4 linked regions of the Notamacropus eugenii genome follow. The protein of the gene in region 2 interacts with the protein of the main gene of each other region in a biochemical or structural test. Links are inferred from orthologs where the notes say so. Each region holds a gene or a part of one and is shown on either strand. Other genes may lie near its edges.

The links.
Region 1: the proteins of guanine nucleotide-binding protein G(q) subunit alpha (region 2) and RGS4 form a complex in vitro, tested with the Homo sapiens proteins (3 studies listed by BioGRID). The link is inferred for Notamacropus eugenii from reciprocal best matches to the Homo sapiens genes GNAQ and RGS4.
Region 3: the proteins of guanine nucleotide-binding protein G(q) subunit alpha (region 2) and GRK2 form a complex in vitro, tested with the Homo sapiens proteins (3 studies listed by BioGRID). The link is inferred for Notamacropus eugenii from reciprocal best matches to the Homo sapiens genes GNAQ and GRK2.
Region 4: the proteins of guanine nucleotide-binding protein G(q) subunit alpha (region 2) and PLCB1 form a complex in vitro, tested with the Homo sapiens proteins (2 studies listed by BioGRID, with this or other methods). The link is inferred for Notamacropus eugenii from reciprocal best matches to the Homo sapiens genes GNAQ and PLCB1.

What each region holds. Positions count from the first base shown.
Region 1 is NC_092873.1:483,813,072-483,820,458, reverse strand, and holds the start of RGS4 (regulator of G-protein signaling 4), read left to right. Parts: upstream 1-4,167; 5' UTR 4,168-4,290; coding exon 4,291-4,334; intron 4,335-7,387. UniProt on the Homo sapiens protein: Inhibits signal transduction by increasing the GTPase activity of G protein alpha subunits thereby driving them into their inactive GDP-bound form. Activity on G(z)-alpha is inhibited by phosphorylation of the G-protein.
Region 2 is NC_092872.1:67,954,934-67,963,017, forward strand, and holds the start of guanine nucleotide-binding protein G(q) subunit alpha, read right to left. Parts: upstream 3,047-8,084; 5' UTR 2,758-3,046; coding exon 2,622-2,757; intron 1-2,621.
Region 3 is NC_092873.1:19,721,484-19,729,534, forward strand, and holds the start of GRK2 (beta-adrenergic receptor kinase 1), read left to right. Parts: upstream 1-4,905; 5' UTR 4,906-4,920; coding exon 4,921-5,597; intron 5,598-8,051. UniProt on the Homo sapiens protein: Specifically phosphorylates the agonist-occupied form of the beta-adrenergic and closely related receptors, probably inducing a desensitization of them. Key regulator of LPAR1 signaling.
Region 4 is NC_092872.1:580,611,967-580,619,405, forward strand, and holds the start of PLCB1 (1-phosphatidylinositol 4,5-bisphosphate phosphodiesterase beta-1), read left to right. Parts: upstream 1-4,244; 5' UTR 4,245-4,712; coding exon 4,713-4,811; intron 4,812-7,439.

The sequences.
Region 1 (7,387 bases), on a different chromosome or scaffold from region 2:
TATGTCATAATTTCTCTGATGTCATGGTCCTCTTTGAAAACCAAGGAGGAATACAACGGCCCCCTAATCAGCTTGAAGAGATTATAAGAAATCACTGAATTTATCAAAGGTTGCCTTAATCAACACTCATTACAGATAGGGCAAGTACTATTTTCAGATAGTCAGTGGTGGACTTGGGACTTTGATACATGCCTTTACCTCAAAGTGCAGTATTCTTTGACTAAGTCATCCTCAGCCTTTTGTTCTTTCCGGTAAACAACAGCCATGTAATTTGGCTCTTCCCTGTCTCCATGCTTTCTCCCCCTACCTACTACCTTTGAGCAGAAAAGGATTTTATATTTAATTCTAGAGGTAATAGGGAATCACTGGACTTTATTGGTTGGGGGGGTGACATCAGGTATTCACTTTAGGAAGATCACTTTGATAGATTGTGGTGGATGGAATGGAGTGTGGAGAGACTTGGGGCAGGGAAACCAATTTGGAGACCAGCCATAGTACAGGTGAGAGGTAATGAGGATGAGGAAATTAACTAGGGCGACAGATCTATCAGTAGAGAGGAGAGGGAAATCATTCTCGTGTAAGTGTAGACACCTGCTAGGATTTAATAAGTAGCAGCCAGACATACTAGGAAAAATACTAGGCTGGATGGGGCTCCAGAAGCTTGTTTCTAGCCCTGGCTTTGCCACTAATTAGGTGTGTGTTCTTGGACAAATTTCTTAAGCTTGATTTCTTCAATGGACTAGATGACCTTAAAATTCCCAGTGACATCTGTCCCATGATATTTCTATTTGAACAAGGAACAAAATTCCTTTTTGGCTAAGACTTTTAAACAAATTAAGCTCTAACTGGGTAATTTTTTGGCATCAGGGCAGTGAGTCAAGTGGATTGAGGTGCATCCCTGAAATGACATTGTGGAGCAAGTGTTGGACTCAAAGAATGTTAATCCCTTTGAGGGTAGGGCTTGTTTTAATTTGTGTCTTTTTTTCTCAGTATCTTTACATAGTACCTGCACATGGTAGGTGCTTCATAAATGACTGATAGATTGAAATGTTCCTTGGGAATGCTAGTTCATTTTTCATTTCTGTCCAACCCTCTGCATGCCCTTATAGAGGATAAATGAATTTCATTGCATAGACCCTATGCCCTTAGGACTATACAATGAAATTCATTTATCTGATATTTTTCCATCATTGAGCTTATTTAATTAACAAATCTGTTGACAGAAAAAGGTAAAGGAAACCACTTCCAGCTAAAGGGGATTTAAAGTTTGACTTTCCAGAAAGCTTGCTCTTGACCCTTCAGTTCTTCCAGCTTTTCTCCTGCCAACTGTTTGTTATCTAATCCATAATCTGCTCAGTCCTAATGCAGTTCCATCATTCACTCCTCTGCTGGCCATGGGCTCTTTATTTAAATAATTTAAATAAACGAAAAAACAAATAATATTTATATATGAATATATTTTTATATATACATTACATTATTTATCTCTGCAGGATGGAGATATGAAAAGAAGACTGGACTTGGAGACAAAAGACTGCGCTTTACAACCTGGCTCTTCATCTAATTAGCTAAGGGACCTAGAGTAAGTCATTTGTATTACCTGAGTCTCTGTTTTGTCCTTCTGTAAAAATGGGCCGGAGCTGCACTGCCTCCCTCACTAATTTGTCCTGAGGGTGCAAAGAAGGTTATGCATGCGACATCCAATGAAATCCAACAAGCGTTTATAAAGCACCACTATAATCCCTGCAGAAAGAACCATCCCTGACAAGAAAATGTTTGCATTCCGCAGGGAAATGCAAGCCGTCAACAGTGTCAGACAAACGTTGTTACTACTCCGCCTTTAGGACACTTGCTAGTTCAGCTTTCTACCACAACTGGCTAGTGCGGATTGTTGTGCCTCCACAGGTGTGTCCTGAAGACCAAAGGAGATGCAGTCAAACGCTTTGTAGGATGGAAAATGTTACAGAAAGGTCAGCTTTTGTTGCTGCATTGTTTATGTCTCCTTGTCTCTGCAATTAGCTTTGAAAATAGAAGCATCTGTAGCCAGGTACAACAAAACATGGTTTCTTTGGCCTTCTTCGGATGTTCCTGAAGAATATGCCTTTGACTAGCATACCTGGTCCTTGCCTCCGTTTTCGAACGTTTCAAATAGAAATGAGAGCCACCAAACCATTAATGAGGAGCCTTGTGGACATACTGACTTAGCTTTCAAATGTAACATTATCTAGGTTTTGTTTTATTTTTTATTTCATTAAATATTTTCCAGTGACATTTCAATTTGGTTTTTGAGACTTGTTTGGAAGTGTCATGGGTCTTTTGTAGCCAGGAGTGATTGACACTTCCCCCATATCCTCATTCTCTGTCTCTTGAAATCCATGGCTTGTTCTACCAATCTAGTATCCCCTCCTCCATGAAGACTTTCCTAATCCTCCCAGTTTGCCCACCCCGTCACTGAACAGTTTACAATGATCTTTTCCTCTTCACATTTCTCACAGCACACTGGCTATATGCTCATCAATCCCTTGTAGGAAGGTTACTTCTGAATATTTCATTCCTGCCAATACATGATCTATCTTGTATTTGGGACTGGACTTGTGCGTTCCTTAACACAGGGAATTCCCATATGAAAAATCAGCTCCTTCCTTGCTACTCACAGTTTTAGAGAGCTGCTTAAAGCACTGAAAGTTCGAGTGATTTGTCCTGGGTCACCCAGTCAGTGAGTGTTGGAAGTAGTCTTTGAACCCAGGTCCTCCTGACTCCAAGGCTAATTCTCTGTATGCTACACCATGCTGAGCATAGTCCGGGCTTGATAAATGAGGGTTCAGTTGAATTGATCTCTGACATTTGCTGAGAAACCCATAGATCATGTCTAAAGGAAAACACATCTTAACCACAGAAGGTGATTAACAATTGATTGTTTAATTGAAATGATCATTTAATTGAAATGACTTGAATATGTGAAACATTTACTTAATCATCTGGATGATTCAGACTCATGATAGCAAACATCCTGCTATCTGTGTGCATTGGTATGGCTGAATTTTTCAGTTTTCATCTGATGCTTGATGCTGGTTGATAAAAATCCAAATCGTCCCCTCTGAGATAATAGAGCTGAAGTTCAGAATTGTAGGAGATACAGATGTTTTTGTAAAGAAAAACACATTTTTTTTTTTTTAATATTGGTTCACACACTTCCTCCTCTGGTCTTCAAGTAGCTATTCTATCCTGAAATAGACATTTCAATGAGAGTTGGTGAGGCTGCTTGCCTTTTTTTTTTTTTTTTTTTTGCTATATTTTTATTTTTGTTTTTTGGCCCTATAAGGTTTCTAAGGACACATTTTGCTGGCAGGCTGATTATAGGTGTAGCTGATCCATATTTTCTAGATGTGTTCTCTATTCTGTCAGGCTAATCACCATCTTACCAGGTTCCTTTTCCCTGTGCACTCCTTTGCAACATGCCAGGTGTTGGTTCAACTTTTGCAAATCTCTGCTGAGAAATTAGAGCATCCTGATGATTTTCATTTGGAAATGGGTGATGATTGGTTTCTGTATTACCTAGAAGGGTTGCTGAGAACAGGCGATAGGAATTATCCACAAAATAAGCCCACATATTCCTGCTAACACCTTAGGTTCCTTGAGGTAGCTTTCTTTCATTCTGCAAACCAGAGGCAAACACAGAGAATGAATGTCAGAGCTCAGAGATCATCTAGTGCAGATTCATCCTTTTACAGATGAGAACTGCAGGTGATTATTCATTGACTCCAGGCTGTGAAAGGGATAATGACTTCTCAGGTGTCAAAAGCTAGTGATAGAGTCAAGTCTAGAATTAATTCCCATTTCAGAACTCTTAATTCCTAAAGTCCCATCTTTTGAAAAAATCATAAAGCTTTGTTTTATTTCTTTTCTGGAAGCCCACACATCTTGAAATAGATATCTGGTTGGGTATTGGGGTAAAGTTTTTCTCTTGTGTGTGCTTTCTTTCTTTCTCTTCTCTTTTCTTTATCCCCCATTTATTCATTTGGCATTGTTCATGCGTCAGCCTGTCTTTTCCTCATTTCTCTTCCAAGGGTTGGAGGAGGCAGAGGGGAGGAGAACCAGTGCCACAGTGCTGCCATCTGATTGGCTGGCTGGGCTGGACTGGACTATAAAAGAAACTCGGGCAGGTTCAGAAGGAAGACTCTCAGAGGAATCTGACAGCATCCTGTCTGAGACAAAAAAGACTCAAACAGAGGCGACAGCTGCTCCTGCCGTGTTTCTCATCTGCACTTTGAAGACAAGCAAGAAACCAAGATGTGCAAAGGACTTGCTGCCCTGCCAGCCACTTGCTTGAGGAGGTAAGGTTGTTTTCATGCACTGATTATGACAGATGTGCTCTATTAATCTGACACCACTTGTGCAAGGTGTCCCAAAAGTCTTGGTGCAGCTTGGTGCTCAACCCTGCAGACTTTGAGGATATCCTGTGTTTGCATTCAGTCAGTGCAACACCAAGTTCCTAGAATTTTCTCAAAGACTAGATATGAATAGTGACTTAAAGAATTTTTTTTCTCCTTCACTTCTAATACCTATATGCTCTATAACTGGTTCTCCGTTAGAAGTCTAGGACAGAAGTGTGAAATTTTTGTCTTGAATGCATAGAAATCTGTATCATTGTCTTTGACTGATGTTTAGTTAGTATTCCTGGTATGTGAATTTTCTTAATGCATCCATTTTTATGCTGGCAATGAGTATCGACTAGACAGTTTTCCTCCAATGACATATCACATTGTTGCTATAAAAAGTATACTATGGTGTAGTGAAAAGAGTGCTCTACCTGGCTGTTTGACCTTGAACAAATTAGCCCCTTTTCTCTGGGTTTCAGTTTATTCTTCTGTAAAAAAAAAAAAAATGGAGAATTAGAGTGGGATAATCTCTGGGATTTCTTTGAGTTCTACCATTCCCATTCATGAATTTTATCATTCTGTGATCTATATTATGCTGTAAGAACTCCTAGTATCAGGGAAATACTTTACCAAAAGGGGTGTTAAAAACCGATATTCATCAAAAGCCTGGTGACTTGGTGTCTTATGTTTTCTATAACATATATTTGGAGTAAATAGCATAGGGACACATCTGTGCCTTTGGAAATCACTTGGTTTTACTACCAGAACTTATGATTTAATTAACAACTGATAATCTAGCCAATGCAGGGAGCTCATCCCAGCTCTTCTACATTAGCACACAGGTCTCAGTCTAGCCATAACAGTCAGTAACCACAGTGTGTTGAACTGTACTCTTAAAAGTTTTTAAATGCTTTGCTACTGTTCATTTGTCAAAGAAAACTCACTTTAAGACATTTTGCTTATTTTGAAGATGTCTGTTAGAAACTCATGGTTAACTTTTATTAACCTGTCACACTCCCCCCCAACCCTTAGTAACTGATGGGATGTTGTGCACAAAGTTGGTGTATGCTAAGACATAAAGCTACATTTTCATATAAACAGAACATGTTTTCAAATCTAACCTCCCTCCCTCCTTCCCAGATTTTGAAAGGCTCCATATGAGTGCACTGTGATTGAGAGGAGGTTTGCACTGTAGACATTCTGTAAAGGAATCCACAGAGGATTAGATCTTAAAGATGCTTCCATGTTATTTAACCTTAAAGGCAATTTCAGCTGCTGACATGTATATAGCTCTTAAGAAAATGGACCAGAGAAATGCCTCCAGGGCACCCTAGCACATAAAGCATTTGAATAAATAAATGAATGCTGCTGTTACAATATGTTTCCTTCCATGCTTGTCTTGAAGTGGAATAAATTTCAGTTGTTGTTGTTTTTAAAGCAAATTCAGAGCAAGGTCATGCATCAGAGAAAAACTTTAATTTCTTACTGATAACGGATTCCACTTTACCAGATCCCTCTGGTTCTTACTAAAGAATTTGCCATCAATTCCAGGACAGCCTCCTCCCCTTGTCTTTCCAAGGACAGTCAGAAAGATACAACTGATCTTAGAAAGGGGGCAGTCATGTCTGGATTCTATTTTGAACCTTGAATAGATTAGTGATTCTTTCTTCCCCTGGTCTAGAGCAAGTCACTCAAGCATTTCTGGGCCTAAGCTGAGTCTCCACAAAGCTATCAAATACATCAGTGTGGGGAGGGAGGTATACTTTCCTAACAGCTTTGGACTTCCCATTAAAAATTGGACCTGAACTCTGCCTCCTAGGTGAGATAAGAGTCTTTGTTTGACTAGGAGAGCATCAACCCTCTCAGTTTACAGCAGAAGAAATATGAGGTTCAGAGAAATGAAGACATTTGGCTAAGGTCACACAGCTTTTGAGTAACACAGTGAGGGCTGGTACCTGTAGACATCTGCCTTCCTGCCCAGAACACTTTCTACTAAGCCATAGATTTGTTCTGTCCCATCTACCTCTAAAATGTCATGCTTCTCTTGATTTGAGAATTGCTGAATTACTGTCTAGGAGAATGATCCTGCATATAAATGGACTGTTAACCCAGAGCAATCAACTGGAAGCTAGCTAGGGAACTTAACTGAAAGTTGATTAAAAAAATCCTCCTTGTGGACTTAAGTGTAGCCTAGCTACACATCAGTCATAGATAACGTGCTTTAATTAAAGCAGGTTGTTGGTGTTAATGACTATACCAGCTGCTTTTTCCTAAGTCCTGAGCCCGGTCCTTCCCCCCCTTTTCCCAATCTTGCATGTGTTTTTAATCTCCTTTATGAGATATTCAGTAACAATAAAATGGTGGTGGGAGGGGCAGAGAAGGGGATCCTAGCTTTAGCACTAGCAGGCATATATGACCAGAAAACTAGTCTTTTTAAATTTTTATTGTTTGAAGTTTAACGATCCCTTATCTCTCTTCTTCTCCATCCCTCCCTCTTGCTTGTACTGGCACCAAACACCCTCCCTTAGAGTCCAACAATTCCCTCCACACCTGGTATCAGAAACCCATAGTAAAGACTGAGCTATGAATGCCTTGTTGAGGATGCAGGAAGCATCCAGTGACTCCCCTCCCTTCCTCCCTCCCTGATAGCTGCATTGCCTTTTTGTACTCGTCAGCACTGCAGTGTGGTGTCTGAGTTTGCAGGCAGCCAGGAGGTAGGCTGTGATTTCAAGGCTTCCAGTAGGTGGTGGCACTATGAAGAAGCCAATTCTGCACAGTTACTTTGTCATAATTGTAGTGACTGCTTGCTTTCCTATTAAAAATTAATATATGTAATAATTATCCAGATCATATCCCTGTATTTGGAGGTGGTAGGTTTATTCTTCCAGGGAATGAAAATAAACTTTGCAGTTTAAACCCATGTGATCCTCAGGCACTGATGCTTGATTTCCATATGAAAGTCCCCAGGAAAAGTAACTCTGGCCTTCCCTGGTCACGAAAATGAAAGG
Region 2 (8,084 bases):
ATGAAGCTAAAAATCACTTGACAATTCTACTTTATAGGGTCGTGTTACAGTGATCTATGTAACTTTTAAATCTTCATGATTTTAAAGACTAAACTTTAATTTCAGGTTACACCACTATTGCTAATTGGGAGGGGGAGATTTTAATTAGGTGGAAGGGAATTCTAATAAGCTTATTCAACTTATGGATGGAAAAGAGGGGTGGGGGAGTCACAGCAGATGTTCCCCAGACCCTCTAGTCCAGAGAAGTACAGTAGATGTGAATTGTTTTCTTCCCCTTCCCCTCTCCTAGAAAACCACCACTAACTTTCATTTAAAAACAAAGCAGGCCTATTTAAATAAATAGAATACATAGTTACAAGTAACTAAAATCTTCCTTCTGGGACAAGTTTCTGAGGCCATTACACGGTCTGCCCTCTGCTCTTCTCAAGAAAGTCCTGAAAAGTCCAGCCACTGAAACATTTGTTGCACTATCTAGAGTAAGGGCTAGAAACCCTGGAACCTGCTGTTCAAACCATAAACAGACACAACTCAAGGCACAATGCAGGTCAGGTGAAAAAATACATTTTGAAATGAAAAAGTTTAAAATGACACATTTATGCTTTCTAATGAGGCAGCTCTACAAGAGACACATTTCCTCATTGTAGAGAATATCTCATCTATCCAGTTGGTTCAATTTCAGCCCTTAAAAAAGTAGCCCTCAATTTGAATCAGTCTTTATCATGAAGTCTTGGTTTCTGCATCCCTCATTCTATTACCTTAAAGCCCACATTTTATCCTTCAGTCCCTCTGCCTTCCATTCTCTTTAAACTAAGCATGTGCAAATCTGTCTAACCGTGTTCCAAAGTGAATCACGTGTTCTGCTTGCTTCTTTACAACATGTATAACTAACCATTTGTATCTTTCTGCCACTATTCTATTTTGTTCCTCCTCTTTAATTGATCCAGCACATAAACAATAGGGCTTCAACAACAGAATAGCTCTTTGCAAAAGAAGATGGAATGTTCAAGATAAGATGATATGTGTTTCTTAGACTCTTTAATAACAGTAATCTTTGTCCAACACAAAATTTTATGTAATGGATTTCCAACACACACAAGTATCCATAACACTATGGCAGACATTTTTCAGGCCTATTATTCCAAAGCCCTATACTGTTCCTGTCACAGTAATTAAGAATTGTGTCACACTGTACTGCATGTGAAAACTAATCTCTTGATTTTTAAAATGCTTAAAACACTGTCCAAAGAAAGCATCACTACAGATTCCTATCTGAGAAAGGACATTTTTTTTGCAATCCCCTTAACAGAGCAGAATTGGAAGGTTCACTTCTTCCCCCTGGTGAATGGGAAACTGTCCTATACTCTGCCCGTTTTATTTCTGGCCCAAATGGGCCAGTTCCAGAGGTGTTAAATCACTGTCATTTTTCCAACACACAATAGGTCACTATTCTGCTCCACAGAGTAGCTGAGGACTGGATTCTTGATTCCAGTTAGGACCTGTTCTAAAGAGAGTCCTTCATGTGGCTGATAAGCCACATGAAACCAAAAGCTTCCATCACATCAACAACCTCTACCACTCTCACCACCACAAACCCCAACACCTCGGACCCCAAGTCTCTTTCCTTTGGAAGGACGGGGAAGCTAGCTAATGAAGCCTGCCCCCCAACCTTCATCAAGAAGCTCTCATCTTCTCTCGCTCTTGCTCTAGTCGCCAGGTTGCAAAAGAATTTCAGTTCTTTTACAACATTTGCCGCCTCTTTTTCACATCTCACTTTAAGCCTCCTTTGCCCTAGCTTCCGAGAGCCACCACCACCATCCCCTTCCTCCATGTCACCACATCGAACCTCCTTCTGAAGCCCACTGTTTCAGCCTCCCTACACCCCAAAATGCATTCCTAATACAAGCACCCAGGGAAGCACAGACCTGTAGTATCTATTGTACATAGATAATATGTTTGTACATAAATGTATATATAGGGATCTACATAGAACATGATCCACGGTAGATGCGATATATGTGCGCGAACACAATTTCCCGACTCCAATTATCCTAACGGAAATAGCACGCTCCCACAGAGCTCAGGCAAAGATACTGGGAGTTGAATCCCTATTTCTCACTCCCCCTCCCTCACCCCCAAATCCACATGCCCTGCCCCCTCTTGCCATGATACGACTTTCATTTGCACTGTGTCCACATCTGATACACACGCATACACTATGCATAGCCCTTGGGTGTGCATATACCCGGGCACATACACCACGATAGCTGTGAAGACGGGGGAAGGGGGACTTGGGGGGCGTAGGGCAGGCATACAGAAAGATCCACTCCATAAGGGCACCGTGCGCGCGTGCGTGTATGTGCGTGTGCGTGTGTGTGTGTGTGCGTGTGTGTATGTGTGCGTGTGTGTGTGCGCGCGCGTGGTGGTGTGCTGTGTGTATGTGTGTATGTGTCGGGTGCTGGGGGAGGGGTGCTGGGGGAGCACATCAGCGGCTGGGGGTGCGGAGGGCAGCTGCCCCGAGGGTGGAAGCAGGCGGAGGAGAGGGCAGGCGGAGGGAGCCGCGGTGGCTGGGGCAAAGGAAGGGAAGTCGGCGGGGAGCGAGGGGAGGCGGCTCTCCCACTTACCCAACAGCAGCAGCTTCAGCTCCCGGCGTGCGTCCCGCTTGTCCCGGCGGAGCTGCCTCTCGATCTCATCGTTAATCCGCCGGGCTTCTTTGGCTTCTTCGCTCAGGCAGCACGCCATGATGGACTCCAGAGTCATTCTTCCTAACTGCTTCAGACACAACCCCCCAGTACCCCCAGAAAACACACGCGCGCGCGCGCTCCTTCCTCACTCCCCGCCGCGGGCCGCGGCGGCAGCTAACCCCTGGGCTGGGGGTGGGAAGAGGGACTGGGGGTGGGAGGGGGGTCCGGGGTAAGGCAGGGTGGGAAGGGGAGGGGAAGGTGGGAGACTCCCGAAGCCGCCCACCGCACGCCCGGCGAAGCCCGATCCCGGCGGCGGGGCCCGAACGCACCAGCGGGTGGAAGGGAGGTTCGGGAGGTGCGAGGAGGAGAGAGGGGGAAAGGCCCGCTCCCCCGGCCTCTCTCACAGAACACCACCACCTCCCCCCACCCCCCACCCCCTCTGCCTCCTGCCTCTGTCACTAGCTAGATCCAACTCCTCCTCCTCTTCTAAATCATGCACCGAGCCACACAGAAACATCCACCAGAGCAGCTTCGCGGCTGCGGCGGCGGCGGCAGAAGCAGCAGCAGCAGCAGCAGGAGCAGCGGCAGCAGGGGCAGCAGCAGCAGCAGCCGCGATGGCACAGACACCGAGCGCACCCTTCTCCCCTGCCCCGCCTGACACCACTCCCCCTGCGCCCCCCTGGATCCGAGATGACACCCGCCGGGATCCCTTTCCCACCCACCCCGGGCTCGCGCGCAAACACACTCACACACTTCCACACACACCCCCCTTCTTCCTCCTGGCCCTCCTCCCCTCCCTCCTCCCCCTCCCCTCCCCCTCCTCCTCTGCTCTCCGCCAGATGCCCACCCCCCGGCCCTGGTGAGTGGCTGATCAGCTTTCTCCCTCCCCCTCGCCACACACACACATTTTCTTCTCTCAACTGGAGCCCAGATCCGGGAGGGAAGCGGCAGCAGCGGCGCCCGCGGGGGAGAGGAGGAGGAGGAGGAGGAGGAGAAGGAGAAGGAGGTGCCGGCGGTGGGGATGGTAGTGAAACTGGAGGCTGGAGGAGGTGGTGTCGCTCGCCTCCTCCCGGGTCTCTGTGCCGGGGATTCTTCCACTTCTCGTCACCTCCCCGACCCCTTCCCCGTGGGGTTCTCCGTGTGCTGATCCTGCTGCCTCCTCTGCCGGTTGTCGGGGCTGTGCCCGCTGGCCCCGGCTGAGAGGAGGGGGAGGAGCCGGCAGGAGGGCCGGAGGCTGAGGCTCGGGCTGCCGAGGCCACCGCCTGCCGCCGCGCCCGCTGCCGCCCGCCCTCGGTGGGCTGTGTGAATCCAGCACCGGCAGCTGCGGCCGCGAACCTGCCTTTGCCAGGGCTTAGCCTCCCGGGCGTGGTAAGGCAGAAATATGGCGGCTTTCGCTCTCGGTTCTCTGCCCACCAGACACAGATACAGCTAGTTCCACACACTCCTGGAAATCCCACGAATTCCAGCCTCCAAACCCAGTGGACAGGCTTGCAAAGCAAACACCACTCCCAGCAACCCCGCCAGTCTGCCACCGGCGCGGCGCTCCCCCGATGGCCGCGAGGAACAGGGGCGTTTTTGTCCTGGAGGGCAGCGTTACAAAAAATACTTTTTAAAAAAAAGATCCTAGTTTCAAAAATGCCATTGAATTACAAACCACCTCACACCACCTCCACCTTTAGGCCATCCTTGGAAAACTTCGACTGGAATCGTGGGGTGGGGCTGAAGGGGGGCCAAATTTGTAATTCATTCCCCACCGGCAGGGTGGGAGGGGAATCTTCCACAAAGTTACTTCTGATTGAAATGAAATCCTGAGCCGAGAAATGAAACTGCTGAAGTTTCCGAGAGTTTCACAGGCAACGTTTGTAACTTTTCATGCCCCTGAGATTCATTGTTTTTGGTGTTTTTTTTTACCAGCTTCCCCTCTGGTTTGGAAATCATGCCAGCCGTTTGAACATGTTAGGAAATCTCTCTCTGTCTCTCTCCGTCTCTCTCTCTATCTGTCTCTCTGTCTCACTCTCTGTGTCTCTGTCTGTTTTTCTGTCTCCCCCCTCCCCTCGTCTCTCTCTCTCTCTCTCTCTCTCTCTCTCTCTCTCTCTCTCTCTCTCTCTCTCTCTCTCTCTGTCTCTGTCTCTCTCTGTCTCTGTCTCTGTCTCTCTCTCTCTCTCTCTCTCTGTCTCTGTCTCTCTCTGTCTCTCTCTCTCTGTCTCTCTCTCTGTCTCTCTCTCTGTCTCTCTCAATCTCTCTGTCTCTCTCTCTCTCTCTCTCTGTCTCTCTGTCTCTGTCTCTGTCTCTCTCTCTCTCTGTCTCTCTCTGTCTCTGTCTCTGTCTCTCTCTCTCTCTGTCTCTTTCTCTCTCTGTCTCTCTCTCTGTCTCTCTCTCTGTCTCTCTCAATCTCTCTGTCTCTCTCTCTCTCTGTCTCTCTCTGTCTCTCTGTCTCTGTCTCTCTCTCTCTCTCTCTCTCTCTCTCTCTCTCTCTCTCTCTCTCTCTCTCTCTCTCTTCTTTCCCTCTCCCCGAAAAACAAAGAATTAATGACAGCTTAGCTCTTTAAGTATGCAAAATTATGTGTGACTGAATAATGTAAACAATGAAACAAAAAATAAACAGCAGAATAAACGTTCATTCCAGCAAAATTTCTTCCCATTTCTTGTTTCTCTAGTTTTGATTGACACTGTTTTGATGTTGCTTGGCTACTTTGTCCTGATACTCTACTGATAACAGGGTAGGACTTCCTGTGAATTTCGAGTTTTGGATGATCCAGCAGCTCAAGAAGTGAAACTACTCCTTCCTTGCTTACTGGAATCTGATGTTTTAAGGGTAATATGTGTCCTGGGATCTTCCTTTTTCACTGAAGCTTTATTTCATGAAGATTTCTCTGTTTTAATGTGTTCATCCTGGGATGTCAAGAGATTTCACTGCCATACTACCACTGGAATCTCCCACAGGTGCAGAATTGTACAAAGGGTTCTACAAGGTGACAAACATCATCTCAATGTTTTTAGGGGCTGGAACCTGCTCACTCCCCATATATGACAAGTCAGGAAGAAAATCAGACAAGTTCTCAGATTCTCGGATCTACCAGCCCCATGCTCCACTTGTTCCCTACTGCCTTTTTTAAGTCATAGACAAAAGGGATCTATAAAAATCCATCTTGCCTGACAATGAGGAAGGCAAATATCTCCTCCCGCACTGCTAAAGCCCTAATAAATGACTGCTACACATGATAAGAAATTAAAATTTAAAATTAAGTGACTAATGCGATTAAATATTCAAATTCAATATTGCAGAATTTTAGAATGACTGCAGGGAAGAAAATTTAATTATGATTTTTCTTTCATATATATGGTTCTTGTATATATTTATGTTTCATATGTATGTGTCTGGATGTGTGTGTATATATGTATGTATATACATACATACATACGTACATACGTACATGTGTGTGTATTCCAAAAGACCAGGAAATCAAATGAGGATCAAGAACCCACAAAAACCAATGACTGGTGATCTAAGGGAGCAGGGACCATTGGAAACTTATTACAAAGTCTCCAGTGCATGAAACTATCCACTTTGACTGATCTAACCCATTACTTGACTGAATTAAGCAAATTGAATGATTGTTTCAGGACTGGGTAGACAGGGCCTTATACAAGTATTTGAAGTCAAGATGAAGACTGCCTTTGTGTGTTACAAGTATTAAGATGGAGGAAAATGGCACTTCAGTATTAAAACAAGATAAAAGGGAACAAAACTGAACTGGGGGGTGGGGAGAGGGAGAAAGAGAATAATAGTTCTCCATGGGGAAGGAAAATTCCAGGTCTGAGCCTAATAATGATACTTTAAATTTGCATAGTGATTTAGAGTTTCCAAAGCTTTTTCAATTATATTACCTCACTTGTCTACCTACCATCTTCAGAACTAATCTCACTACACCACACTCAAAATTCAATAAATTGCAGTATATCCTTGAATTTGACAACCAACATTTTTCTATCTCTTCATTTTAACTTAAAATCGACTCTCTCCTAAGGACAGCACATCCCTCTAAACCTCTCCATTCTCCAAACTCTTAGAACTGGTAGGAACAGTGCCCGTGATCCTTTTCACTTGAACTTCTACATATCTATCTACCAATCTTCTCTCCCTGACCTTTCCTCTTTTAAGTATTAAGTAAGTATTTAATTTAAGTATTAATTAAATATTAAGTATTTCCTCTTTCAAGTATTAAAAGGATTTACTTTTATATGTTGATAAATGTCTAACATCTGTGAAGAATGGATCCTTCAGTGTATTCTTCCAACTTTCCTCAGTGACAAGCATTATGTTCATAGTATTCCTCTCCACCCCACCCCTTTGCCATTACCCTCACATACTTCAATGTTTAAGGAAAAGACTGCTCTGACAACAAGACCAAATAATGACTCAGCCTCCCCAACTACAATAGTTTTCTTCTTCATCCTCCTTTAGGCATACACTCACCATCTCTCAGAATTATTATTACTACCTCCAAGATTTGAAACTTTTAACCTCTCTTTGTATCTCTCCCACTCCTTCAATTCACAAAATCAGCTCTTCACCCTTGTTATGACCCTTGGTCACTTGACCCTGTTTTCCATCTTTCCCACTCTGTCTTTACTTTCCTTCATGCCCCCTTACCTGCCACTTTAATGATTCACAAGTTACCACTTACCCTAGAATCTTTTGCCTCCAAACCTTCCCTCATTCTGGACCTGCAAATTCTCGTCTCTGGATAATTCCTGTCATGTGATTTTTCCACTTCGTCTAAGCTGCTGAGCATTGCTGGAGAAAGTGATAAAACTGAGCTGATTCCATCCACTACAAATGTATGGTTCATAACCTCAGTTAAACCTTTACTGCTACTCAATATTCCTTCTGCTCTCCATTATTGACTCCCTGTCTCATTCGCCACAGCTACTGTTGCAAGCTTTTTCCTCTCTTCCCAAACCCAATGGCACCCCATCCCTATCCTCTATCCCCTGGATAATCTGATCACTTCATCAGCATGCAGATGACTCAGGTTTTTGAGATTCACCACCGTCTTCACTTCCTCATTTGCGTCCTCCCTCTGACTGGAGGGCTGGAGGTTAAAGCAGTGAACTTCCCACAGTGTTTCTTTATAGAGGGTTCTGAACTTTCAGAATTGTCTAGGTAACTCTTCATTTTCCATCTTAAGCTCTAAGCTCAGCTTAGTTTAAAGTCCAGAGAACATTGTACCTATATTGTACCTATACACTGGGGACTCCCTGCTGCCCCTCCCCATCCCCTTCAGCTTCCTTTTGTTTATTGTCTTTATCCATTAGATTGTAAACTCCAAGAGAGCAGGCAAAATCTATCTTTCTTTTCTTATTTGTATCTCCAGAACTTAGTATACTGCCTGCACGTGT
Region 3 (8,051 bases), on a different chromosome or scaffold from region 2:
AGAAATTAAAGATATCTATAGTCATATGAAAAAATGCTCTAAATCACTTTTGATTAGAGAGATGCAAATCAAAACAACTCTGAGATACTACAATACACCTATCATACTGGCAAACATGACAGAACAGGAAGATGATAAATGTTGGAGAGGATGTGGGAGAGTTGGAACACTAATTCATTGTTGGTGGAGCTGTGAGCTCATCCAATCATTCTGGAGAGCAATTTGGAACTATGCCCAAAGGGCTACGGAAATGTGCATACCCTTTGACCCAGCAATATTGCTTCTAGGACTGTATCCCCAAGAGATCATAAAAATGGGAAAGGGTCCCACATGTACAAAAATATTTATAGCAGCACTCTTTGTAGTTGCCAAAAACTGGAAGTCAAGGGGATGCCCATCAATTGGGGAATGGCTGAATAAATTATGGTATATGTAATGGAGTACTATTGCACCATAAGAAATGATGAACAAGAAGACTTCAGGGAAGCCTGGAAGGACTTATATGACCTGACGCTGAGCGAAAGGAGCAGAACTAGGAGAACTTTGTGCACAGCAACAACCATAGTGTGTGAGAGTTTTTTCTGGTAGACTTGGAACTTTGTAATAACGCAAGAACCTTTAAAAAAAAAATTCCCAATGGTTTTCTAAGGCAAAATGCCTGCCACACTCAGAGAAAAAACTATGGAATTCATTCGCAGAATGTAGCAGATCATGTTTGTGTGTGTGTGTGTGTGTGTGTATTATGTTTTGATTTGTTATATGATTTCTTCCATTTATTTTAGTTCGTCTACATAGCATGACTATCGTGAAAACATATTCAATAGGAAAGTATATGTAGATCCTATATAGAATTGTATGCTGTCTTGGGGAGGGAGAGGGGAGGAGGGGGGTAGGTGTGGAGGGGTTAAAATCTAAGTTTTATGGTAGTGATTGTAGAACACTAAAAAATAAAATAAAATTTTAAAAAATGCTGAGAAAAATAACTCCTTAAAAATCAGAATTGGTCAAATGAAATAAAAGAAGTATAAAACATCACTGAAGAAAATAACTCCTTAAAAACAAAATCAATCAAGTGGCAGTTAATGACTCCACAAGATATCCAGAAAGAATAAAACAAAATCAAAAGATTAAAAAAAAGGAGAAAAGTGTGAGATATCTCATTGGAAAAACAGCTGATTTAGAAAATAGACTGAGGAGAGATTACTTAGGAAGTATTGGATCCCATATGAAGCCCATGATCCACAGAGAGAAAGAGAGAGAGAGAGAGAGAGAGAGAGAGAGAGAGAGAGAGAGAGAGAGCCTAGACATCATATCTGAAGGAGTTATAAAGGGAAACTGTTCAGATATCACAAAGGGCAAAATAGAAATTGAAGAATTCACTGTTAACCTCTTGAAAAAAATCCCAAAATGAAAAGTCAGGAATGTTATAGCCAAATTCAAAGACTCCCAGTTCAAAGAGAAAATACCGAAAGCAGCCAGAAAGAAACAATTCAAATATCACAAAGCCACAGTCAGGCTCACACAAGATTTAGCAGCTTCCATGTTAAAGAAGTGGAGTATAATATTGGAATATATATAATATTGGAATATAATATTCCAGAGGACAAAGGAGCTAGAACTGTAACCAAGATTAACACAATCTTTCAGAGTTTGAAAAAAGGGATATTTAATGAAATAGAGTACCTTCAAGCATTCCTAATAAAAAGGCAAGACCTGAACAGAAAATCTGACATTCAAACAGAAGACTCAGGAGAAGTATAAAAAGGTAAAGATGAGTGAAAAATCACAAGGGACTTAACAAGGTTGAACTGTTTACATTCGTATATGGGAGAGTGACATATGTAACCTCTAAGAAGTTCATCATGAGTAGGGCAGTTAGGAGTCTACTTTGACAGAGGGTATAAATGTGAGTCTACTCTTCAAAAGAAGAATAGAAAGGTGAGAAAGAGGGATGAACTGGGAGAAAGGGGGAGGGAGGAGAATGGAGAAATGATCTCACATAAAAGAGGAATACAAGAAAGAGTTTTTACAATGGAGGGGAAAATGGGAGTGGGGGAATGGACTGTGGTTGAATGTCATTCTCATCTGATCTAGTTCAAAGAGAGGGAGCGAGGAAAGGATTGGGGAGAGAGATGTGTGTGTGTGTGTGTGTGTGTGTGTGTATGTGTGTATATACACACATACATACACACACACATATACATATGTTTATTTTTATACACTCACAGTTGGGCATAGAAATTCATTTTACCAACAAGGAAGTATGAGTGGATGGGGCTAAGAGAAATGGGGGGGGGGGTAAGAAGAAAGAGGATAGGATTAAGATAGGCAGTGACTTCAAACAAAACAGACTTTTAATGAGGGGGGAGGGGAAAAAGAGAATAAAAAGAAGAAAATAGGATGGAGTGAAATATACAGTTAGCAATTATAACTGTGAATGTGAATAGGATGAGTTCACTCATTAAATGGAAGAGAATGGATTAGAAACCAGAATCCAACAATATGTTTGTTGTTAACAAAAAACACACTTGAAACAGAAAGACTTACACAGATTTAAAATTAGAAGCTACAGCAGAATTTTACTATGCTTTGGTTGAATAAAAAAAGGCAACGTTAACAATCATGATCTAAGAAAAAGCAAAAGTAGATAATTAGAGAATCTAAATCTATCCCATATATATTAATAATATATAATAGACAATATCTAATAATCTAATTAAATAGATCTAAAGAGATAATCAAAGATATTGTATTTTGCTAAAAGTTACCATAGACAGTGAATTATAATAATACTGAACACAGAGGCACTAAATAGCAAAGAATCCAATTTTTTTCTTAATTTTTGGTTTGGTTTTTGAAGGATCCAAATTTTTGAAGGAAAAGTTAAATAAGTTACAGGAGAAAACAGTAAAACTATACTAATGGGAGGCCTTTTTGTATCCCTGGTACTTAGCATGCCTGCTTGTTGATGAGCTGATGAATGGATCCCGAGTATTTTTATTACCAAATTCAAACTCCTGTTTGATATTTAAAACCCCTCACAGACTCATTTTAACCTACCTTTCCATACTCTTAATCTGGACAAATACGTTGTCTTTCTATTTTTCATGAAGGACATTCTCTCTCCTGCCTGTTCCTTTCTATGGGCTGACTTCCATGCCTGGAATGTTCTTCCTCCTCTCGACTCTTTCACAGAATCTCAAGTTTTCTTCAAAGTTCAGTTCAAGCAAGACCTTTTACATCAAGCCTACCTGGATCCAGCCACCACCCCTCCCCACCCCCAACCCCACCTCCAGCTGAGAAAATCTACTTCCTAGTTATTTTGTATCATCTTTCCTGATCTAATAGAAGCTCCCTGAGGGGAGAGAGTCTTTATTTCTGCCTTTGTATTCCTGGTGTCTCGTAATAGTTGAATGAACAAGTATTTAAGTTTCTCCCACCCTGGACTAGGTCCCAGGATGCAAAACTAGCAAATGAAACATCCTGGGTTCTCAAAGGGCAAGGGCTTACATTCTAGTTTACTGATGGCTGGTTGTCTTGAAGGCCTGTCTTGGGGAGGAAGGAGTATGCTTGTTCTCCTTGGCTCCTGGAGGCAGAAGCAGGACTCATAAGTGGAAGTGGAGAAGTCAGATTTAGGCTTGATGTCAGGGAAAGGGAAAAGAAGGGAATAGGCATGTATTAAGCACCTCCTATGTACCAGGCACTGGGCTAAATATGTCATTCTGTCCTCCCAACAATCCTTCAAGGCAGGTGAGGCCCATTTTACAGGATGCATTGTCAGGATCGTTGTGTGGTGGTGACTCTGGAAGGTGTTAGCTTAAGATAACCTCCCCGTGAGCTCTCCGAGGTCTGACAGGCTGAAAAAGGCCGGCGGTGGCTCCCTCGGGGGTCCTCAGTCCATTATGACTATTTCCGGTTTATCCCGTCCGAGTCTGGTTTATACTTGGTTATCCGTCTCCCCTCCCCAATGAGCTTCGGTCTTCTGCCTTTCTGTGAATCCCCCAGTGCTTAGCCTAGTGCCTGGCACACAGTAGGTGATTGATTGGGGGCAGAGGGTGCCAAGATGCCCAGGTTTTTAGACTGCCTCTAAACACTCATCAGCGGTTGTCCGGCAGGGTGACTAAGGACAGGGATACCGGCCCCCCCTTGTCCCCTCAGTCCCTCTGTGCAGCGTGCTGGCCTGTGCGGGCGGCCCGCCCTCCCTAAGAGGACGGAGGCTCATCGAGGCCAGGCTACCCTCCTCCTCCAAGTATTTCCCATTCCTAGCACAGAGGGACTTGAGTTCAGGTTTGTGGGACTGAAACGGGCAGGTCTGGGGCCAGGGAGGTGGGGGGAGCCAGTGGGCCTGGAGCCCCAGGGCACGGCATGGAGGGCCAGGGCAAGATGGGGGGTTCCTGGGCCAGGGAGGCAGTCGGGGTGGGGAGGGGAGGCCGTCCATTGCCAAGGAACGTCTAAGAAGCGCCTACTATGTGCCAGGCAGGGCTAAGTTCCAGTGACAAGGCTCAGACAGCCAGGGCCAAGGTCTCGGAGATTCGAAGTCAGAATGGGGGGAGTCATGGGGGGCAGGGGGTACAAGCTGACTGACCCGGTTAGGGGCAGGTGGACACTGGGTAGTGCGGCCCTAGGGGGAGGTGTCGAGGTGCGGGAGGAGTGGGGGGAGGGTTCCCTGGGAGGGGGCGGGGTCTGGTGGGCAGCCCCTGGCAGGTGGGGGTCATATCTGCACAAGGAGGCACTCTGACGACACCCCTCCACCCCGGGCATCATTGGACGAGCCTACGTGGGCGGGGCCGGGGCGCGGAAGAAGAGGCGTTCTGGGGGCGGGGTTTACCCTAAGAGGGGACTGGGGGGAGGGATCGAGGCACTGTAGGGGGCGCTGTGGGGGGCGGAGGGCTGGGGGCGGGGCTTAGTCTGCAGCGGGCGATGCGAGTCAGACCTATCTCTTTAGGTAGGGGGCGCAGCTCTGGCTCTGCGCGCCCCCGCCCCTCCACAGCCGCCCCAGGGCGGACGCCGCGGACCCCGCCGGCAGGGGGCGCGGCGGCGCCCAGCGGGGGGCCGCGGCGGCGCACGACCTCGGCCGGCAGGGGGCGCAGCTCCTCGTCGGTGCGCTCCTTGTACTTGGCGCGGATCGGGGCCCCCCCCCAGTCGCCGCCCCCCCTCGCCCCGTGGCTGCTGCGGCGGCCGGGCCTGACGGGCGGGTGGTGCTCGGCTGCGCAGGCGGGGCCGGGGGCCGGAGCCGGAGCGGGGCAGGGGCCGGGGCCGCGGCGGGGCCGGAGCGGGAGCCGGAGGAGGCGGAGCAGCGGGCGCGGGCGTCATGGGGCGGCGCCGCCGCGTGTAGGCCGGGGCCGGGGCCGGGGCCGAGGCCGGGGCCGGGGAGGCCGGGCCGGGCCGCGGCGGGCGGAGGGCCTCGCCGTGCGGGGCGTGGAGGTCCAGGAGCGCCAGGGCAGCGGCGGCCAAGGCGGCCAGGGCGGCGAAGGGGGCTACAAGATGGCGGACCTGGAGGCCGTGCTGGCCGACGTGAGCTACCTGATGGCCATGGAGAAGAGCAAGGCCACGCCGGCGGCGCGGGCCAGCAAGAAGATCCTGCTGCCCGAGCCCAGGTGAGAGGCCCCGAAGCCCCCCCGGAAACCGACCCCGAGCCCCCCACCCCGAAACTGACCCTGAAACCCACCCTGAAACTGACCCTGAAATCTACCCTGAAACTGACCCTCAAACCCACCCTGAAACTGACCCTGAAATCTACCCTGAAACTGACCCTGAAACCCACCCTGAAACTGACCCTGAAACCCACCCTGAAACTGACCCTGAAATCTACCCTGAAACTGACCCTCAAACCCACCCTGAAACTGACCCTGAAACCCACCCTGAAACTGACCCTCAAACCCACCCTGAAACTGACCCTGAAACCCACCCTGAAACTGACCCTGAAACCCACCCTGAAACTGACCCTGAAATCTACCCTGAAACTGACCCTCAAACCCACCCTGAAACCGACTCCGAAACTGACCCTGCCAGAAAATGACCCTGAAACTTCCCCAGCCTGAAACTGAACCTAAACTTGGTCCCAGCCCCTAAGCTTAAGACTAACCCTGACACTAAACGTGGGACAGCCCTCAGAGCTCCCCCTCTCCTTCCATCCCTGACTGTCACCCTGGGCACCCCAGTGGCCTCGGCCGGACACTTGTCTCCTCCTGCTCTCCAGCAGTCCTTTCTTCTTCATGCCTGCCATCCCTCCCACCCCTCCTCCCCATACTGTCCATTCTGCGCTGCCCACAGGGTATCCCCAACTCATGCCGGCTCTGAGGCCTCATCTTTACTCCTCACACCTCCCCCGTGTCCATTTCAAACTTCTCATTGCCTAGCAACCCTTACCAATTTTCAGGCCCTTATTTCATCCCATAGACTCACCTAACCCCCCACCTGCCCCTCCAATCTTCTCCTTTCCTCTCATCCTCTCCCTCTCACCTCCAACACCCCACCCCCATGCTTACTCTGTCTGCTTATCACCTTTTTTCTCTTCTACTACGACTGTGATTTCTCCTCCTTAGACCCCTCTCTGTAACATACTCTCTCCCCTTTTACTATCAGTAATAAGTTCTTACTCTGGTTTGGCACTGAGATAAACGTTAGCGATACAAAGACAAAAGATAAAACCAGTTCCTGCCTTCAGGGAGTTTCCATTCTCATCTGGAGACAGTTTTCTGTTGGCCTGGCCCTGAACCTGTCCAGTTTCCCCCTGTCTTCCTATGCTTCTCCTACCCTCCTCAAAAATACCACTCACATCTTTGACTAGGACTTTCTCCTAATTCCTGCCTCTCCCTTCCCCACTAACCTTTGGCCAGAGATGGAATTTCAGCCAGTACTTTTGCTGAGGGATGACATTAAGGGGAGAAGACACATGTTTAGTGGCCTCTCTAGGGTACTTTCCACCTTGGAAGTTGATTTTGAGGATTTTGAGTCTGTCTTTCAACCAGAGGTGAAAGCCAAGGGGAATCTGTAGGGGATGGGATATGGCCAATGGTAAACAGCATTGTCGTCTCCCTCAGCCCCCAGACAGCTGGAGGGAGAGCCCCTTCCACTTGGGTGCCAGCAGGGAGTGTATAAATGCATAGCGTGGACCCAGATGCCATCTGTTCGTTACACTTGGGAGAAACACCCATGACGTCAGGCCTTCCCATATTCCTCCTCTGGCCTGGCTCCCCTGAGGTACCTAGAAGGGCCTGAGGTCTGCCTTGCCCTCCCTCCTGGACCATGTTTACAGTGGGACAGCTATGGCCTGATAATTCCATGTAGCAGCTGGGACACGGGTTACCCAAGGGGTGGCAGGTCCTTTCTGTCGTTTGTAAACTGAGAGCTTGGCCTGGTGCTTTGAGAGCCCATCCCAGATAATGGGGTGCCAGGGCCAGCAGGTTCCCTGGAGGGGGACAGCCTGCATGCACATGGAGTGTGTCTGGGTCAGGATTCCGAGGCATGAGCTCACTCTGGGTGTGACTATGTTTTCCTGGACCCTTGAGCGGGCTGGCTGGGTCAAAGTGAGAGTTGTGGGTGCCAGAGTCGGCCAGTGCTGAGCAGTGAGCCCCCCAGGCTGGCCCGTGGTACCCGCTCTCCTTTGCTCTCAGGGCATCTCCAGTCACTGGGTTTCAGATTGACTGAGTGTGGGGGACAGGAGAGGGGAATTTGCCTGCTGCTCATAAAGGCCCTTCCTTGGGGGCCCCTTTCTTTTCTGACTCTGGTGATCAGATTTCTGAAAACAGGAACTGGGGCTTACTGCGTGCGTGGTGCTACCCAGAGAGCACGGACAAGATGGGGCCCAGCAAGTTCAGAAATTGCCACGCTGGGGAAGGAGGAAGCTGGGGGAGCCCACAGCACTTGGAGTTCTTCGGGTGGGGACCCCAGAGGACCCAGAATGCACTAGGATCTGGCTGGATCCTGCTCAGGTGTAGGGAACCTGAGGGGCTGATCACTGCCTCTTCTCCTAGCTTCCCTTTTCTGGGACGGGAGTAAGCAAGGCCTCCTGCACTGTGGGAGAACCTGTGTGACCTTGGGGAAGTCAC
Region 4 (7,439 bases), about 510 Mb from region 2:
GAGGAATGAGTGATAAAAGAGTGGAGGCAGCAAGTATAGATAACTCTTTCAAGGAATTTGACTGAAAGAAGAGATATAGGATAATAGGTAACAGGAATGATGCAATTTAGAGATATGGTTTTTCTTGTTTTTTTTTTTAAGAATGGGGAAGACAAGCATGTTTGTAGGCAGCAGGGAAAGAAAAGTAAAGCTTTGAGTTACATAAAACACTTCTCACAACAATGCTGTATAGTATATGATACAGTTATTATCTCCCTTTTTATAGATGAGGTTAATTAAATTGCCTATGTTCACACAGCAACACTTGGAGTTTGGAGTCAAACCCATGCTTCTTAATTCCTAAGTACAGTGGGATCATTAAAGGTATCATACTATGCTTCATAATTTTGAATAGATTTTTTGAAATATCTAGACAAATAAATAAATAATAAATCATATGCATGTTTTTGTGTGTGGGGATGATGGGTTTATTTTGGGGGGATGTTGAGTTTGAGATGCCTATAGGCCATCCAGGTAGAGGTGGTCAGTGTGCAACTGTTAACTTGAGAGAGAGACTGGGGCTAGATATGTATGAAGATCTGTGAGTCATCTGCAAAGAAATGATAATGAAATTAATAATAGCTGATGAGGTTAATGAGGGAATCTAGGAATGTTTTATAGAGTACCTTCCTTGCCCATTGAGACCATCATAAAAATTTCCCCCTTTCCTTCCCAAGATGTCTTTGTACCATTTGTTAAAAATTAAATAGAACATTGTACAAGATGCATTGTTGACTTGGGGCACCATGTCATTTATTTTGTTCTTAGATGTTTCAAAACTTTACCCCAAATTGCATATTTTTCTCTCCAATGTAATCTCCAAATGGGTGGCAAAATGAGAAGAGGCTGGTTTAAGAGACCTAGTTTGTATATAACTTTATCCACTACATTTTAAACCTTTTTATCCTGTAACCCTCCCACACTACAACATTTTTTTAGGTAAAAGAAAATCCAATCTTACTTGCAGGTCAAGGGAAATTCAATAACTAAATCATGCTTTTGTTTTAGTGATGGTGTTAAACTCAAACAAAAGTTCAAATTCCCATAGCTCTATCATCCTTCAAGTACTTATAGCTCTTAAAGGCTGTGTAGTGATTGCAAAATAAAAATTAAGTCAAATCTTTCATTCATGTAATCTCAAGTTCATTTCTGATCTTCTTATCTCCTGTTCTGAAAGCTACAACAATGTGGGTTTCATTAAAAATATCTCCTTATTCCTTCAACACATTCCCTTTTCTCAAATAAGGGAAAAACCTTATTCACCTGAGGGTATTTGGGGGCACAGTAGCTCTTTTTGTTTTTTTAGGATTGAAAGGAAGCAGAAATCGAAGAGAGGGATCATTGAGTTGAACAAGTGAACTGAACTTAATTTATAAAGTGAGTAAGGATGAGGGATGGGAGGGGCAAAATTGTAAAAACCTTAGAGAAAGCTTCTCATTTTCTAACAATAGCTGACATTTACAAAGCTGTCATAGCCCTCAGGAACCCAAGGTCATTTCCATACCATGGTGCAGGAAAAGCATTTCCCTCTTGCTCCTCCCAACCCCCTACCCTTTCCGGAGGTGGGGTGGAGAAGGTCACAATGCCGAAGGGCTAAGAGTCAGCTTAATAACAACAATAATAACCTGACACTTATATAAGTCTTTAAGGATTGCAAGCACTTTGTATATGCCATCCCGTTTGATCCTTACAACAACTCTGGGAAGCAGATTCTCCTTTTACAGATGAGGAAACAGGTTAAATGACTTGCCTACTGTCCCACAGCTAATAAGTAGGGAGGATTTGAACTTAGGTCTTCCTGACTCTTTTCTATATGCACTAATGCCACCTAGCTGCTTCCAATTTTTATACTATTTACAACCATTAGCTAAACTCTTGGCACTCTACATGTGAGTTCCTTGTCCAGTGATTCATAAATAGACATGCTGCTAGGGGAAGTACATCCTATCAGTTTTGACATTTACACATCACTTTTACATATACATCACTTTTACATTACTTTATTTATACATTATTGTATTTGATCTTTTAAGCAACTTGGTGAGATAAGTATTACATTATTATTACATATATAATATATATACATATATAATACATATTAATTATTATTACCACTTTACATATTTAAAAAGTGTCACAGAGGTCATCAAATGACTTGTTCATGGTCACATAGTAAATTTTAGAGACCAAGACTTGAAACCCAGTTTCACCAGACTCTAAATCTAGCACTTCTTTTGGAACATCACATTGACTCCTTACTACACACTTTGTGTCTGGAACAGAAAAGATGGGGAAAAGGTGGGGTTTTTTCTATTGTTGCGTTTAAATAGGCTATTCGTTAATTAGTTGAATTGACAAATAGAACTGAACCTTGAGCAGAAGTGTTTTTATTTTAGTCTCTTTTTTTGGTGGATTTTTGTTTGTTTTTTCAGAAAGTCAGAATCACAGTTGGAGAGGCAGCATGACAGAGAAGTAGTTTTGTAGTCTAGAAGACTTGGGTCCTGCCTAGAGTTGTCTTTTTCTACTAGGTACTGACTGTGTGATCCTGGGCAGATAATTTAGCCTCCCAGTTCACCCTTAGTAATCTACATTTGGGAAAGGGACTTTTCTCACTAGGAGTTCTCAGTTCCAAAGAAATAATAGGTCCAGACCAGGAAAAATAAAAACACTCATAATTAAGGAAAGTTCTATACAGAAGGCTGATCTCTAAAAAGATTTTTTGACATCAGATAACAGAAAAGAAACAACTTTATATAGTATGGGATAAGTGGACATTGTCTGGACTTAGACTCAAGAGTGCTGGGATTCAAAGCCCCTTTTTGACACTTAGCTAAGATAATTCACTTCTCTGAGGTTGTTTCTTTATCTTTCCTCGCATTTCTGACAACTAAATGAAGGACTGTTGTGAGGAAAGTACTTTGCAAAATTAAAATATAAGAATGAATTTCCATTATCTTTATGAGGTGCTTATGTCTGGGTTTATTATGATAAGGACGGTTTGAAAAGTGGTAGGGTGTACTTTTCCAAGTATAGCAAGGAACAAAGATTCTAGGAGAAATTAAAAAAAAACAAATTTAAAAATTAAGGCATTTTTGTTCCTAAATTGCGTAACAGATTTTGAGTTGGCAGGTTATTTAGTCCAAGACTAAACTGAGGAAACTGAAGGGTTAACTGACTTGCTTAAAGTCACACAGGAACTAAAGTATAGAGCCACATTAGAACTCAGGACTTAAACTTCCAAATTCAGCACTTTTTTCCTCTGTAGTACTCTAAGAAAATTAACATTTTATCAACAGAATAGTTCCAGCGTTACAGGAAACACAATCTGAAGTCTGGAGAGAAGAATTTTCCCCCTATACAACAGTTTTAAAATTTTCTTTTAAAAATACAATTTTATTTGATAGTTTTTTGTTTTCACATTGCTTAAATTTCCTTCTGTTCTTTTCTTTATTAAATAGCAACCACAAGACCACAAACAAAAAACATTCCCTTGCTTGGAAGATGACATTTATGTACAAGTATTGCAACCAGTTTTTTCAGGACTGTCCTTTTATCTTCCTGCAAATACAATTTGCCACTTTCTCTTGTGCTAAATACTAGTGTAAGAAGTGTACTCGGACACAAAGCTAAGGATGAGGTGTCCAGGGGTGCAGATGAGCCTCAGGAGATGTATCCAATTCATGTCTCCAGGCTGCTTACTATCTCCTCCGCCAGTAACAACTGTCCATTGTGTTGCGGGCTTCAGCACTACGATATTCTCATTTGGGGGTACAGGATGGTCTCCACCAAAAACCTACATCCCTCTTTCTCCGTCCCATTTCCCCCTCAGCCTGTCTCCCCGTTTCCTCTCCTCTCCTTGCTCAGTTTTTCACCGAGCCCAGAGAAATGCAACCCTCACATCCAAGCCTCCAGCCCCTGAAAGGTAACCGGGCATGCTCACTGAGCCTCTCCCAAGGAGAAAGTGTCTCGTTGTAGCAGTGTCCTGAGACCGGGAGGTGCCGCTGCGCCCCTGCTGCCTTCCATTCGCCTGACCCAGCGGAGAAAGTTGGGCTCCGGGAAAGGCAAGGGAAAGGAGGGACGGAGCCAGCGAGTGTGGAGGGAGGGGAGGGAAGTAGGGTGGGAGGGGGACGCCAGGAGCGTGTGTCACTCGCTCGCTCCACTCCCTCTGTGTATATAGGATGTGCTGAATGGTGCTCTTCAGACCCGCGGCGGGCGCGGAGGAGGCAGCGGAGGAGGAGCAGATCCTGAGCCCCAGTCGAGCCCGAGCGGGCGGCAGCGGGAGCAGCGGCGGCCGCTACGGCTCCAGCGGGCTCCCCCGCGCCCCGTCCCTCCAGGTCCGCCGGCCAAGCCTCGGTACCAGCTTCGTCCCTCGCTCGCCCGTGCTCGCTCGCCGGGTCTCCTGGGCATCTGCCGCTGCTCCCCGACGGGCGCCCGACACCACTTTCCACGGAGGGCATGGACCGCTTCCTCTCCTGCCCCGCACTCCTGCGCTGAGCCACCTTCCCCGCGGTGAACGGAGGGGAGGAAGGAGAGAGGGGTCGGGGGAAAGCCAGAAGAGCCCCCCGCTTCCCGAGCCAGTGCAGACCCCAGGCCCGCCCCCTCCCCGTCTCCCCACTTCTCTCCCCTTCTCGGATTGTCTTTTCTCCTCCGCTGGCAAGCCTCCATGTGTGTAGATGGCCGGGGCACAGCCAGGAGTTCACGCCTTGCAACTCAAACCTGTCAGTGTCTCGGACAACCTGAAGAAAGGCATCAAATTTGTCAAATGGGATGATGTAAGTGGCCTCCCTTGGCGGGGGAGGGGGTGGGAGTGGGGGTGGGGAAGGTGGGAGGAAGCACACGCGTTATGCAATGGGCATAGTGGATCGATAAGGGTGCCAGAAAGTACACATGTTGGAAACTGCACAGGCAGTGAAAGGGCAGTGTGCGTGTGTGTCTGTCAGCGTTCAGTATTTTACATCCTTAAGAGCGGAAAGCAAGGAGAAGAGGATTTTTAAAAATCATTACGCTAATATCTATGGCAAGGCTTATGTTGCCTTGACAGGTCATTATAATTCGAAAAGTAACGTGGGTGGTACTTCTGACGGGTAGACAAGTGTCCTTAATGTGCATTGGGAGAAGGAAGCTTCTTTTTCCTCCTACAAATGCACAACTCCCAAGTCCTCCATCATTCCTCCAGAAAAATGACCATTTGGTGCTCTGAGTTATTAATTCAAGAGTGGCAAGCTGCTGCATTGTACCTTATTTAAGTGATCTGACACCAGACGGTATGGGCTCACACCACAGGTTGTTTGCTCCCAAACTTAAGTCTCTGTCTTCTTCAAAGTAGGGGCTCCAGGGTAAAGGCTAACGGTAGAGAGGGAGCATAAAGTGGCATTTTGTGGATTGACAAGGGGGAAGAGTCAATAGCTTTGCAGGTGCTGCCTGCTAATTTTCTAGAGCTTCCAAGGCTTTTAAGGCAATAGCTTGAAAAGACCCTGCTGTGAAGTTTTACCCTGCAGTGTCAGGGGGCCTAACATGGTAGCGGAGACAGAAGGGCAAGGGATAGATGAGAATTGTCATAATTTCAGGACCCCACAGGGCTCTGAGAGTTTTTCTCCTAAGAATCTGAATCTGAACATGACATTCATCCTCAAGAGACATAAATTAAACACACACACACACACACACACAATATTGAGGGAATAAGTTTGGACTGACAATAGGGAATTAATTTTTATTAATACTACATCCTTGATTTCATTCAGAATTTATTGGTATGAATTATTCATTGTGATAAACATGAGACTTCCAGGGTTGAGGGAGATTTAAGTCCAAATGATTGAGGCACCTCTTAATCAGGAGTAATTATAGGACAGTTGGGTACCCTTCTTGTTGAGAATGTTTTCCACTCAGCAAATTACAGACTATTATCCTTCAGAATGTTTCCCTTTTAATAATCTTATGTCATTTTTCTTCCATGTGAAAATAATTTAGATGGTCCAGGTAGAAAATCCAGTTACTTAACCCAGTATATTTGTTTCTATATTTTGTAAAGTTGGAAGTATGAATAGAGAAGGTACAAGATTTAACCGTTTCCTTGTCAATTATCAGAGGCAACAGGCAAAGAATAAAAACTGTATATCTTTTCAACAACCCTATCCTGATGGAACAGGACTTTTTTTTAGGGGTTGGGGTGCATAAATAATTTAGAATATAATCAGTATGTTCAAAGAATCCAGTAGATATTTTGTCTGGGTCAATAAGTCCATCAATAAAACTTATTTCCTATAGAGATTTTTGTTCATATTCAGTCCCACTTGATAGAGAATCAGTGTAATCAGAACTACAGAGCAATACAAAGGAGACACCTGTAACAGAGGCGTAACAGCCTAAGATAAGATGTCTTAGTGTAAGCTTTGAATTCCTTTACCTTGTTTTTCTCATAACCATATACTTTATGCAAAACCTCATTGCTTTCTTATTTGATTTGCATGCTACCACAGAAATAAACTAGGATAGAGTAGAAAGAAAAGTAAACTAGTCAACCATAACAAAATTGAGACTAAGGGTAAGTAGGGTACTTAACTACTTAGACCTCAACAAGTAGAGGGGCTGCAATTCAGGGCATTTAAAAATGTTACTCTTTATAAGTGCACATATTCTGAGGTCAGAAAATTCTGATCTCTGTGGTTCACTGTATTTTACTAGGAAGTCCGAAATCTTGTAGTGGACAGCAACACAGAGGATGTACGAATTTTAAAACCTTGCCCAGCGAGCACACACATGCCTTTCCAGTTTTTATCAGAGGTCTTGGTTTCTAACTCTACCTCTTCTTTAGTTCACTGGGTGACATTCCATTCCATTCTGGGTCTCATTCTTATTTCTTCAGTGGAGAACTCACCTGCCCTGGAACAGAACAGAATTCCCTGTGTGGATCCAGAGTGAATTTATGAGTGTTTTCTAGATCACAAGTGGTCAAGTATTTGATAGTTAGTTTTCTCATCCTTGTGTTCCATTTAGTCTGGACTACTGACCTTAGCCTGTATCTTTTCCACCTAAAGAGAGGGTGAGGATCCTTCTTAATACAGGTTTTGCAGTAATTGAACTAGAAATACTGGGCTAGGGGTTGAAAAGCCTGGGCTTTAGTCTTGGCCCAGGCCATTATTAATTCTCTCGTAGCCTCAGCTTCCTTATCCATAAAATGAAATTATTATTATGTCAAATGAGATAACATATGACAGTATGTCATAAGTCTATAGAATCCCATACAAATATATAATAAAATAACTAACATTTGTATAATGTTTTTCTATTTACCACCTTCTCCATACATTTTGCTAATTTGGTCTCTGTGATAAATATACCACTAAGCCCATACAAATTTTACCTTGCATATAAATCTTAAGAGTTTGGAGAAGCCC